2 linked regions of the Caenorhabditis elegans genome follow. The protein of the gene in region 1 purifies or fractionates together with the protein of each later gene. This does not show direct contact. Each region holds a gene or a part of one and is shown on either strand. Other genes may lie near its edges.

Region 1 (5,837 bases):
TGGTCAATAGAATTCAAAATTTCGATCAACTGATTCGGTTGGTCGTAGCTCATTGTATTGAATTTTTTAAATTTCGAATAGTCACTGAAAAAATTACAGTTTTATATGGCGATGCATGAGAATTGTTTCAGTAGAGTTTTATTTACTTGGGGTTTATATTAATTGAAGATTAAAAAACGATCTCGACTTAAGTGCTATGCACTGCGGAACTGAGAGTCAGGTACACTGCCTGGTCATCACTACCGACTGAGCAACCCCTCCGGTCTAAAATTTTTGAACTACCGTGAAATGTTAAAACATGGTTAGGTAAAAACTTTTTGAAAGTTTTCAAATGTTTAAGGTCATTCAGACTAAACAAATCACACATGTTTGAGAAAAAACTAGCAGAAAAATCAAAAAATTACCAAAACGTAGAGATGCAAAAGTTGGTAATGCTGATTGAAAAAAGGTTTGGATATCTTAAAGTCAGTAGTTTACCAGACTTAAAAGGATAATACATGTCTTCTGAAGTCTCTATAGCAATCACTTTGCTTGAAAATAAATCACTAGGATTTCGGAATGGTGGTAGATCAACATGGAAAACACGGTTGTCGATAAGAAGTTTGTAGATTTTTCGATTAATTTTTTTTAAATCTACATCTGGTTTCACCAGAATTTTTTGATAGTTCTATTCTGAAAACAATAGACATTTAGATAATTAAAACCTACTTCAACTCACACTTCAGTCAACTTCAATTGATGTATAATATTCCGAAATGCAGGATACGGTAAACCAAGTAGGTGAAAGGGTTGAATCTAAAAAATCAATAAAATTAAACGAAAAACTGTAAAATACATATGTTCTTGCCTTGTTTGACGGGGTCCTGATACCTCGACGTTTAAAAAATCTCAGACAAATAAATGAGGAGAGTTGTGAAATAAAGGAGCTCATACCAAATGGTAACTCAAATATGTAATCGAAAAAAAAAAACACTGAGCAGACTAACGGAGCAGGCGAGCGTCTAAATGGTATAATCGATACATAGAAAGTGGTTATAAATCCTCCAAGTGTGTGACATCATACATTGTGCACAATGTAGCAGTAGCTATAGTAGCAGGAAATTAGTAACATTAGATCTATCCTGTTTGAAAGCATCAATGTCGATGAGTTGTTTTTTAAATTAAAAAACCATCGAGAATAATTTGAAAAATAAAATATGAATAATCTGAAGTCCCAAGGAATACCAAATTTCTACTTGAAGATTCTCAGTTTTTGTAACTTTTTAGAAGTCTTCGATCAAAAAAAATCCTTTGAATAGACATTTTTTCATATTTTTATGAATTAATAATGTTAAGAATCCTTATTAGTTTGGGATATCCAAACATTTTTTAAAATTTATGTTAAAAAACAAAAGATTTCAATGTTCTATATAAAGCAGTTTTTATTACTTTCCAGGTACTTAGTATTCCTATATTAAAATAATTTTAAAAAATTTCAAAACTCTGCACAAATCCGTTTTTGGAGCTATTTTAACGACCCTTTACATCTCGTTTTCAGGAATTCAGGATTATGTTCCGCCGTTTCTTTTAAAAAGTTTGAGATAAAAAATTATTTTAGTTTTGATTTTTCGCTTACAGGTTTTCTAATTAACATCTCCTTTACTGCCTATTATCCTGTTTCTTTTTATAAATTTATTCTTCTCATTTATTATTCAGTGATTATCCAATATTTTAGAGAATTAACTATCAATCCAATTGTTCCTCAAAACTCCATAGTCTTGGATAGTCTTGAAAACTGATCGATACCATGCAAACGGTGTGTGTTGTTTTGTTGATTCCCTGCCGCATTTGAACTATTTTTTCACCGCGCGCACGCATCGCCCCTGTCCGTCTCGCCACACACTATTTCCGCGCGCTCTTTCTCTACCTCTCACACTCTCTCAATCTCCCTAACTCAAGTGTTCATTCTTGTTGCGTGGTCCCACCGGTTTGCATTTTTTCATCTCTGTCTTTCTTTTTCGTTGTATTTTTTTAAATTTCATTTATTTCAATATTTCATTAAGTTTTGATTTTTGCAGGTATGAGTTCCTCAAAACCTTACCCAAGCGGTCTGCCAAACTCGAGAAGAAAAAGAGGAGGTGAGAGTTTTTTGCATCAATTTTTCATTCAATTTGTAAATTCAGGTCGCCGCTCAAGTAGTCGTAGCAATCAGGAAAGTGCATCCAACAACATGGAACACCAAATCACTCTTGACGAATTGTTCAATCCGATCGCAAAACAAGACAGTGCTCAGTCAACAAGCCGTGAATATGGTGCAAAATCGGGGATATCTCATCACGGATCCGTATCATTCAACGGGAATACATTCATGAATGGCCAACAGCTGAATCACTCGATGACTCGACATGGTCGAGTATTCAATCAGTCGATGCATGCAGCTCAAGGAAACGGCAGCAACGCCTTTAACAGTATTCCTCCTACGGCCCCCGTCTTCTCTGCAGACTTCCGCCGCAACTTGCAAACACGCAATAGCTCCAGCTGGTATGAACGAAGATTCCCAGTATCCACAGATCAGGACGACGTTCAGCAATCAAACACAAGACGTAGTAGAAGTCGTCAGAATGGACAACATGGCCTAAGCTTCTCGGATGGTTCGAACAATTATGGTCACGCTGGGAATAAGTCATTCAGTGTGAGTTCCGTTCCCGTTGGGTTCCAGAAGCAAGAAAATAATTCTAAGAAACTGCGACAAACCAATGTTCACCAGCAATGTCTTGGAAATAAAAGCTTCAACGCTCAAGCTGGAGTTCATGGACACGCTTTTAAAAAAGGCCATAAGGACAATAAAAATGCATCTGGAAAGGAGGTTATCAATTCTAGTCTTGTCCAAAAGCACGATGCTATTAAGTCGCGGAATTTGAACCAGAGCTTCTCTGGATTTCCTACACATGAAACCTCATCGATGAAAAATCAACAACAGAAATCAAGAAACGACAGAAAAAAATCACGTGGTAGCAGCAACTTCCAGGATCGTACTTACTTCAACACAAATGACGATGAATTAACTGACGATGTGTTCATAGACGATTCCATGGATGCTGCCCGTGGTCGGAGATCTCGATCAGTCACTAAGAAACTTCAACAATCGACTTATTCAAAGCAGAATGCAGGCAGTAAACAATTGACTGAAAAATGCAAATCTTCTGAAGAAGCGGCTAAACGTAACCTGGTATCCAATGTATTCAGCAAGGACGGCACTGAACTCTCCATTGAACAGTTATTGGAAATTGTCAGCATGAAGATCGGACAACAGATTCACTTGCCTTCCAGCTCTCATGGAGAATGCAGCAATTTGAATCGGACATTACCAGCAAGTGATCTAAATTGCTCAATTGGTGAAGACTTTGACTCCAGTTTTGTGGATGCTAACAACCAAACCCTACCAGTGAGTCTTCCCAAGAAAACTTCACTGTCGATCAAGCGCCGTGGAAGTTCTCGTAGTGCCTCCCGTCTGGCCAGTCTTGATGTGACACTGGAAACTGTTGAAGAAGACGAGGAACCCACGCCAAGTCCACAGCCGAGTTCTCCTCCAAAGATCTCAAGAAGAAAGTGGACAGGAACTTTTGATGCCAACGTTGAGGAAATGAGACGTTTACTTCATGGGGACCCTGAGATGCCGAAATCTGCAAATCGTGCTTCCTCAAGGTATGTAGTGAAATAGTAAAATCTTTAGTAAAAATTTAAATTTCAGCAAGGATCAGATCAATCGGAACAATGTGGATGTAAAGAGAACACCTTCCTCGTCAATCATCCCAACTCCAAAGGCTTTGATCGGAGAAAGATGTCTGACATCATCCAGCAAGTTAGTTTTACACTTGGAGCTTCTTATTTCATTATATTTTTTACAGGTCTTCAAAGTTGAACAAGTCACTTGGCGTGGTTGATTCTAAAGCTACAAAATCACCAATGTATTCCGTCACAGTTTCTGGAAAAGAAACAGCTTCAGGAAAGCGAATTGCTCAAAAGTTGACTCCAAAGGTTGTGGCGCTGGAAAGGTATGACTTTACAAAAAACGAACAACATTTCCATATTTTCTTTTCCAGCTCTTACATTACCGGAATTCCAGTTTCCACGGATTGTAATGGTTGCCCAACTCCGAAGAGAAGTGGAATCAATTGTGAAATTCGTGCAGCTGAAGTATACAATCAAGCTGGGAAATGGCCCTTCGAAATCACCAGGTAAGGTCCAAGTTAATAAATCCGCTATCGATCAAGCATATGGAAAATAATGTACAAGCTGAAAAGATTGAGCTCAAAACTTGATTCAAATCCTGTAAAATTATTTTCTGAGTACAGTAAATTTCTTTCAGTGATCCGGCTCCACTTCCTTGTGAATCAGCCGATCGGATCGAATATCCTTCTCAAGATTGCACTCAAGATCCAGCTTCAACCTCGCCACCACCTCGCATTTCTGAAAGCTTGACAGCATTCCTGGAAGCTCAGCAAGACTTTAACGACTACATTGATACTAACTACAAAGAAAAGACACAACTCCTGAAAGTGAATTTGAATATTCACGGGATGTCACCTGAAAGATGGCTGTACTTGAATTATTTTTGCACCGAGACAATTCCAAGATTGGATGGTCCTTATGCCGATGGTAAGAAAGATAAGACATATTTAATCTTGAAAACTTTAATTTTTTCAGATCCAAGAGTTCCACCTGTGCGAAATATGTTCAGAAAATGGTTCCTCCGTTTTGCTGAAGCCTGCTTAGGAAATCCTCACCAGCTTGCAGTTATGCAAGAGATTGCTGCCACGTTTGTTCAGGCTCGGCTGGACGATACGAGCAGCTCCACAGACTCCACCAATATGCTCTACATGTTGTGGAAGGAGTGTATCGGACAGAAGAATATCATCGCAATTGCTGATGCGTGTTTACTTGCACATCTTCGGAAATCGGATCCTATCAAATACTTGAATGTAAAACGGGATTGGCTGGAATCTATTTTTGACCCACCCAGAGATCAATGATTGTACCAATTTATATCTATTACTTGTAGACTATATTGTATGTTATTCTTGTTCATTAACCCTTTATCCACTCTTGTTATATTTCAACTCGCTTCTCCTTGTGAATTTGTATTATGTCTACCCAGATACTTGTAGAGGGTAGTATTATATTGTTGTCTGGATGATTGATAAAGAATTGCCGATTCTTTAAGATTTGGAGTGGAACTAGAATAAAAGAAAAGTTCGAAATAGATTTAAGAAAAGATGATTGGTAACTGATTTGAAAATATACATATCTTCTCATAGATCTTTTTTGTGAAATTTAAATACTGTCATTAGGCAAAATAGTAGTCACGGATTCAATTTTAAAACAGATGCTTCAGATTTGTTTGGAAAAGTTCCGTTTTTTAATACAGGGTGGGCCATAATTATGCGCACTACTTTGAAGCTTCATAAAACCAAAACAAAAAACACATTAAACAAATAATCATATAGGTTTTGTTCTCCGAGAAAAACTAAATAAGATACCATTTTTGAATTCGAAAATATCACCGTCCGCATTGCTACAGGCCTTCACAAGTTTCGGAAACGCACCAACGATGGCGGACAAGTAGGCACGCTTCAGGGTTTTTCATGTTTTTCTCGGAGGACTCATTAGTTATCAAGTAAAATTTAAAGTTCAAAGAATGCTCTTGATTCAGAGATGCTTCACACAAAAAATCTAAAAGATTGATATTGTTAGGTGACAGTGGCAGCTGATTGAGTATCGAGTACTGTGAAATTCAGTCAAGGCCTAAACGAAGCTTGTGCGCGGAAGCACTGACATGCTAAGAAAATCATATTTGT
Region 2 (5,910 bases), on another chromosome or scaffold:
AATAGCCAATTCCTTTGTGCTCTTTGATTTTCAAAACAGAAATATGATGCCAATACTGGCGCCCAGACCCCGGGACAAGATTTCATTTCTTCAACTAGTTTCACCCTCCGTCATCACGTGTCAGTTTTTAACGATTTCTAACAAAAATGTATGTTTTTGTGTCTAGGAACGGCAATGTTGAATATTTTGTTTTTCTAGAGTCTTACTTGTTTCAGCTTCGATGAAACCCGTTTTTTTAAATATAATTGAAAAGTGGATAAAAATTGGTTCATTATAATTAGAGATAGTTTAAAACAATACCCTAAAAATCCCAACAGTTAGAAGGGACTTATTCATTAATTAGTTGCTGGCTAAGTTTTCTATTTATATAATTACTCTCGAAATTTATCAATCGATTCTTGGACTTTTTTGTTCCGCAGACGCCGGCGGAGTTTACAAGCGTACGATGTGGTTCAACTTTTAAAGCTTTATAAATGGGGCATGTATGAATATTTCGAATTCTAAATCTATAATATTAAAACACAAACGCATCTAAATTATTGGTGTCGATAAGTATTTTTCAAGCGGTGAATCATCTGTGTTCACACAAATAACCAGATAAAAATGAATAAAAACATTTTAAGCTTGTTTAGAAAATTAATTAGTTTAAAACTTGATTCAAGACGGCACGATGCTTCTGACCGTTTTTATCCTTTCTAATTTATTTTTTTTATCGTATTACTTGCAATGGCATCACTTGATCACTGAACCTTCAAGGAAAAATAGAATGTTAAATTCAGAAAAAGTCTTAAATCTAGAAAAAAAAAACTCGGTGCACAAAAGTACATCAATTTTTTGTCTGTGATCAGCTACAATTCATTGCATATTCGTATAGAATATATTAAAAAAAGTTCCTAGATTTATTACTCGTTTTTTCACCAGTTATTTCTGCTTTCTTACGAAAACGCCTTTTCTCATTTTGCTTGTCAAAAAACACGCGATATGTGAGCCACAACAGAATTCTAATTGCTTGTTTCTATGTTGGGGGCACCACACAATTTCACCTGTTTTTCAGCAATCCAGCACGACCGCTATTTTCTTTGCTTCATGGGTTCACTTTTGGCAAACCCATAAAATATTTCGTATACTTATATGTCAAGTATTTGTATCTTACGAGTAAGACTGCCAAATTCTTCCTGCTCTCTTTTTTTCATCAGAATCTGATCCTTGACATCGTCTACTCTTTTACTCTCAAAAGAGCAGCAGTAATTGGAAATTGAAGAGGATGAAGCTCGATCTTTAAGGAAAAAACGAGAGAAAAGAAGTGGGCTGGTTAATCGAAAATTGCGCTGAAAAAGCAGAAGACGAGCTGTAGGAAAAAACGACAAAGCGTGGGAAGAGGGACGGCGCCGTTTGCTCCGCGCTTTTTATTTTTCGTCTTCCGATTTCCGAAGTGACGATGGTTTTTAAGTAAAGACAGATGATTTTTCTCATTCATGTAGTGATGTCATTTTTTGTTAGTTAGAGCCACATGGAATTCCATGGTTTTGCATTCCATTAATTCCTCTCCTACAGTTAATCATACTGCTTGAGATTGCATTTATTACATAGGTTACTGTAGTTTTCTAAAAAACAGATTTGGGTGCATATGTGCATGTTATCATGTGTGTTCTCAGTTTTTCCCCGTTGCTTTGAAAACATAATATCTCTTGTCAACAACGTTTTTCCACTTTTGAAACAATGAAAAATGGTCACTTGCTCAGTTTGTTGTCCCTTGTATTCTCTTTTTAATTTTTTAAAGGTCTCTTCATACTTTTATTGAATTTTTCATGTTGTTAATTTCAGGCGGTCGGCTCCGCATCCGCAATGTTGAGATCAAAGAAGAAGGACAAGGAAAATGGGAAATCAGAGAAAAAGGACAAAGAGAAGGATAAGAAATCAATGAAAGATGACGGTGCTGGAAGCAGTAAGGCATCTACAATTCCTACGATCCGAACAGAAGATGTTGGAGGTAAATTAATGTTTTGATTATTCGGGAAAGATGATAACACAAAATTTTAAAAAAGTCAATTTCAATAAAATCTCACGTGAATCTATATTCTTCCACGGTTCTCCGAGAGCATAATTTTTCATCATTTCTTTCTAACCATCGAGTAATTTCAACCATCAACCAAAGATAGCAATGAATAAAATGCCACAGAGATCAAAGAAAAGACGACAGAAAACGAGTAAGTAGTCTAAATTATTTGAGAACATTTAGGAGTAAGAGTGGTTCCTATCGTAGAGTTTTGAGAATTCTTCGAAACGAGCGGAGATCGTTGTGAGACCCTGTGAAGACAATACAGCGAGCCTATAAAGTTTAGATTACGGCGTGTCGAATTTTATCATGAAAACATATACTATTCGGAAACAAAAACAACATGATTCGAGATTAAGGTTTTGATTAGAGTTTTCTTCAGTAAATAATTTTTGAAGCTGTCCTCCCTTTCAGCATCTTATAGTTCTCGAGGTAGGCAGGTTTTTGACCACTTGCATTTTTTTGAATAACTGAAATGGATGCAAAGTATAAATAAGTAGAAATGTATCGGATCTGAAATCAAATGCACTACATTTTATGAAGATATTGAGTGAAAATATTTATCAGTTAGATGGGGGAGGAACAAGCCATCCAACCAACAACAAGAAATCTGTGAGCCCTCAAGGCACACTATTGATGTCCAACTTTTCCACAAACTCCTTCAAACTCTTCTTCTTTTTGCCCCCCCCCCCCCATTTTCTTTATTTCTCACAGAAAAAACGACCTTCTTTCTTCTCTGCGCCTGTCTTGCTCCTTTAGATTTCTTTTCTATCATCAATTTACCCTACTCTTCTTCTATTTCTCGCGTTATTTTGTATCACGGAAGAAGGTATTAGAAATAATTCGAATAGGATAGTTGGAACGGATTAGGACTCCAGCTCAATTAGTTTGATTGTGTTTTTTTGGTTTGTTACGCCTTTCCTGTAGTCTTTTTGCAGCGCATACCAAAGAAAAAAACATTTTAGTGTTCTGGAGAAAATATTATTTTGTTCATAGTAGATATTTTCTTACAAACGCTTAGACATTTCGCTATTTCCCCAACTTCACGAAACAACTTTTGTAGTGTACATTTGAATTTGAATTTCCCGCGTAAATGCTCGACGAGGCCGCAGAAATCGAAAATGGGATAGTTAGTCCACCACTAGTGTACTCCTCTCGGATAAATTTTTTTTTGAATCACAATCATTGATTTTTCCATTTTCGGCCCTCATATTTATCATTTCTAGGAGATATGATTCCTGCAGATGCACCACCACCAACAAATATTGGCCGAACAAACACGTACGGAGGAGGTTAGTGTTTAAACGAAGACTAATTAACTATAGAGACAGATTTAATTTCAGGGCCAGTGATACCGCGAAGAGAGCGCCGCCAATCAAGTAGCATGTTCAACATTTCACAAAACAGAGAGCTGCAAAGACTTCCAGCTATCAAAGGTAATAATGTTTTTTTTAATTACCGTATTGATAAACTCGTTTTTAGATGCGGATCCGAGCGAGAGAGAAACACTGTTCATTCAAAAACTTCGACAATGCTGCGTTGTTTTTGACTTTGCCAATGATGCTCTCAGCGATTTAAAATTCAAAGAAGTCAAACGGGCAGCTCTAAATGAACTCGTCGACCACGTTTCCGGAGCTCCAAAAGGATCGCTATCTGATGCTGTCTATCCAGAAGCTATCGGCATGTTCTCCACTAATCTTTTCCGTCCTTTGAGCCCACCGACCAATCCAATTGGTGCTGAATTTGACCCCGATGAAGACGAACCAACATTAGAAGCTGCCTGGCCACATCTGCAGGTAATATTTATTTTCTGCTCTTATTTAAAGTAAATATTTTCAGCTCGTCTACGAGTTTTTCCTGAGATTCCTGGAGTGCCCCGATTTTCAATCTCAAGTTGCAAAACGTTACATTGATCAAAATTTCATTCTTCGTCTTCTCATGATTATGGACAGTGAAGATCCACGTGAACGTGACTTTCTGAAGACAACTTTACATCGAATTTATGGAAAGTTCCTCGGACATCGTGCTTACATTCGGAAGCAAATCAACAACATTTTCTACTCGTTCATCTACGAAACTGAGAGGCACAACGGGATTGCTGAATTACTCGAGATTCTAGGTAGCATTATCAATGGATTCGCTCTTCCCTTGAAAGAGGAACACAAAACTTTCTTGCTCCGAGTTCTTCTTCCGCTACACAAGGTCAAATCATTATCTGTATATCATCCTCAACTCGCGTACTGTGTCGTACAGTTCATTGAAAAAGACTCATCACTGACAGAGCCTGTAATCAGTGGGATGCTACGCTTCTGGCCAAAACAACATAGTCCCAAGGAAGTGATGTTCCTGAATGAATTGGAAGAAGTCCTCGATGTGATAGAGCCGAATGAGTTCCAAAAAATCATGACTCCATTGTTCTCACAAATTGCTCGCTGTGTCAGCAGTCCACACTTCCAAGTTGCCGAACGAGCTCTCTACTATTGGAATAATGAATATGTGATGTCATTAGTAGCGGACAATGCTCGTGTGATAATTCCAATAATGTTCCCTGTTCTTTTCAAAAACAGCAAGTCACATTGGAATAAAACGATTCATGGACTTATCTACAACGCCCTCAAGATGTTCATGGAAATGAATCAAAAACTGTTTGACGAGTGTTCCCAAGCTTATCAGAAAGATCGAGTTCAAGAAAAGACATTGAATGAAGAAAAAGAACGCATCTGGAACAATATTGAGAAACAGGCAATGGGAAACCCGCAATATGTTGAAGTTAAAGCACTATTTGCTCGATTTAATCCAGATGAAATCATCAGCTCGCGTCAGCAGAATGGAGTTGACGAGAATATGAAGACTTCAACTGTGCTTAGCAAGGATGAAATTCTGAAAAATGCTGTAGGAGTGGTAAGTTACAAAAACCTAGAAATATTTTTTTTTTGTACAATAACGAATCATTACAGAGCTCGATGAAAAACGATATGGATTTCGGACCCAACCACAAACAATCCGATTTCCCTCCAGATGAGCAAACGACGAGAGCTTTAGGCGAGTACAAGCGTCACGATCCATTTTTGAAGAAAGTGACTAGCACCGACGAACAGTGATGCAGAAGACTTCAACGGGTGCCAATTTCTCCATGTTGTGCCGGGTTTATTATACGATGATTCGACTTCCTTACCCAGTTTCCGTTCCTTTCTTAAAATATTGACCATTCCATGACCCTTATCACCGTTTTATTGCTCTCCAAAATTGCCCTTAATCACATCTATGTTTGCGTACCTGTAAATATTTCGAAACTTATTTCAGTTTTATCAATATGCACCATAAATTCCATCTCTCCTCACCATCATCGCAAATCCAAATGCGACTTTTCATTGTGTAATAATTTCCCCCATTTTGGTAGTGATTTGGATTTAGATGTTATAAATGAATCGAGAAGCCATGTGAAATACATTAAAATCTGCATAGGAATAATCATGGGAATATATATTAGGCAGAAGGTTTACGAGGGGTTTGGCTCATTTCATCCAAATCCTTCTTTATATGTTCTTTTTCGAATGCTAACCCCACTCTTTGCACATCAATATGCACTTATGTATGAAATACACGAAATGAGACGAAGGAGCATTATAAGCGTTTAGGAATAAACAAAGAACTGAAAAAGCAGAGAGAAGATCATAAATCCATGAGACGAATTTTTGTTTGTTTCTGACTCACTTCGTCATATTTCTTCTCCAGGGTTTACTTTATCTTTTTTTTTCTTATGATTTCTCTGTTAGTCTTTGGAACATTTTACTTTAAAACTCATTATCGCAAAGTCGCTTTCATTTATTTTTAAACAAGATTTATAAAACTTT

What was found.
Region 2: the proteins of meg-3 (region 1) and pptr-2 purify together in Caenorhabditis elegans (affinity purification with western blotting, with the first as the bait; one study listed by BioGRID). This does not show direct contact.

What each region holds. Positions count from the first base shown.
Region 1 is NC_003284.9:1,985,828-1,991,664, reverse strand, and holds meg-3 (uncharacterized protein), read left to right. Parts: upstream 1-2,057; 5' UTR 2,058-2,059; coding exon 2,060-2,117; intron 2,118-2,162; coding exon 2,163-3,684; intron 3,685-3,730; coding exon 3,731-3,841; intron 3,842-3,887; coding exon 3,888-4,034; intron 4,035-4,082; coding exon 4,083-4,217; intron 4,218-4,348; coding exon 4,349-4,638; intron 4,639-4,686; coding exon 4,687-5,012; 3' UTR 5,013-5,196; downstream 5,197-5,837. Other genes in the region: Y40A1A.2 (F-box domain-containing protein), read right to left, coding at 618-672, 719-795, 848-931.
Region 2 is NC_003283.11:11,026,760-11,032,669, reverse strand, and holds pptr-2 (Serine/threonine protein phosphatase 2A regulatory subunit), read left to right. Parts: upstream 1-1,845; coding exon 1,846-1,990; intron 1,991-2,161; coding exon of another isoform or gene 2,162-2,207; intron 2,208-2,749; exon of another isoform or gene 2,750-2,865; intron 2,866-2,885; exon of another isoform or gene 2,886-3,026; intron 3,027-3,282; coding exon 3,283-3,348; intron 3,349-3,387; coding exon of another isoform or gene 3,388-3,399; coding exon 3,400-3,492; intron 3,493-3,538; coding exon 3,539-3,852; intron 3,853-3,895; coding exon 3,896-4,957; intron 4,958-5,013; coding exon 5,014-5,157; downstream 5,158-5,910.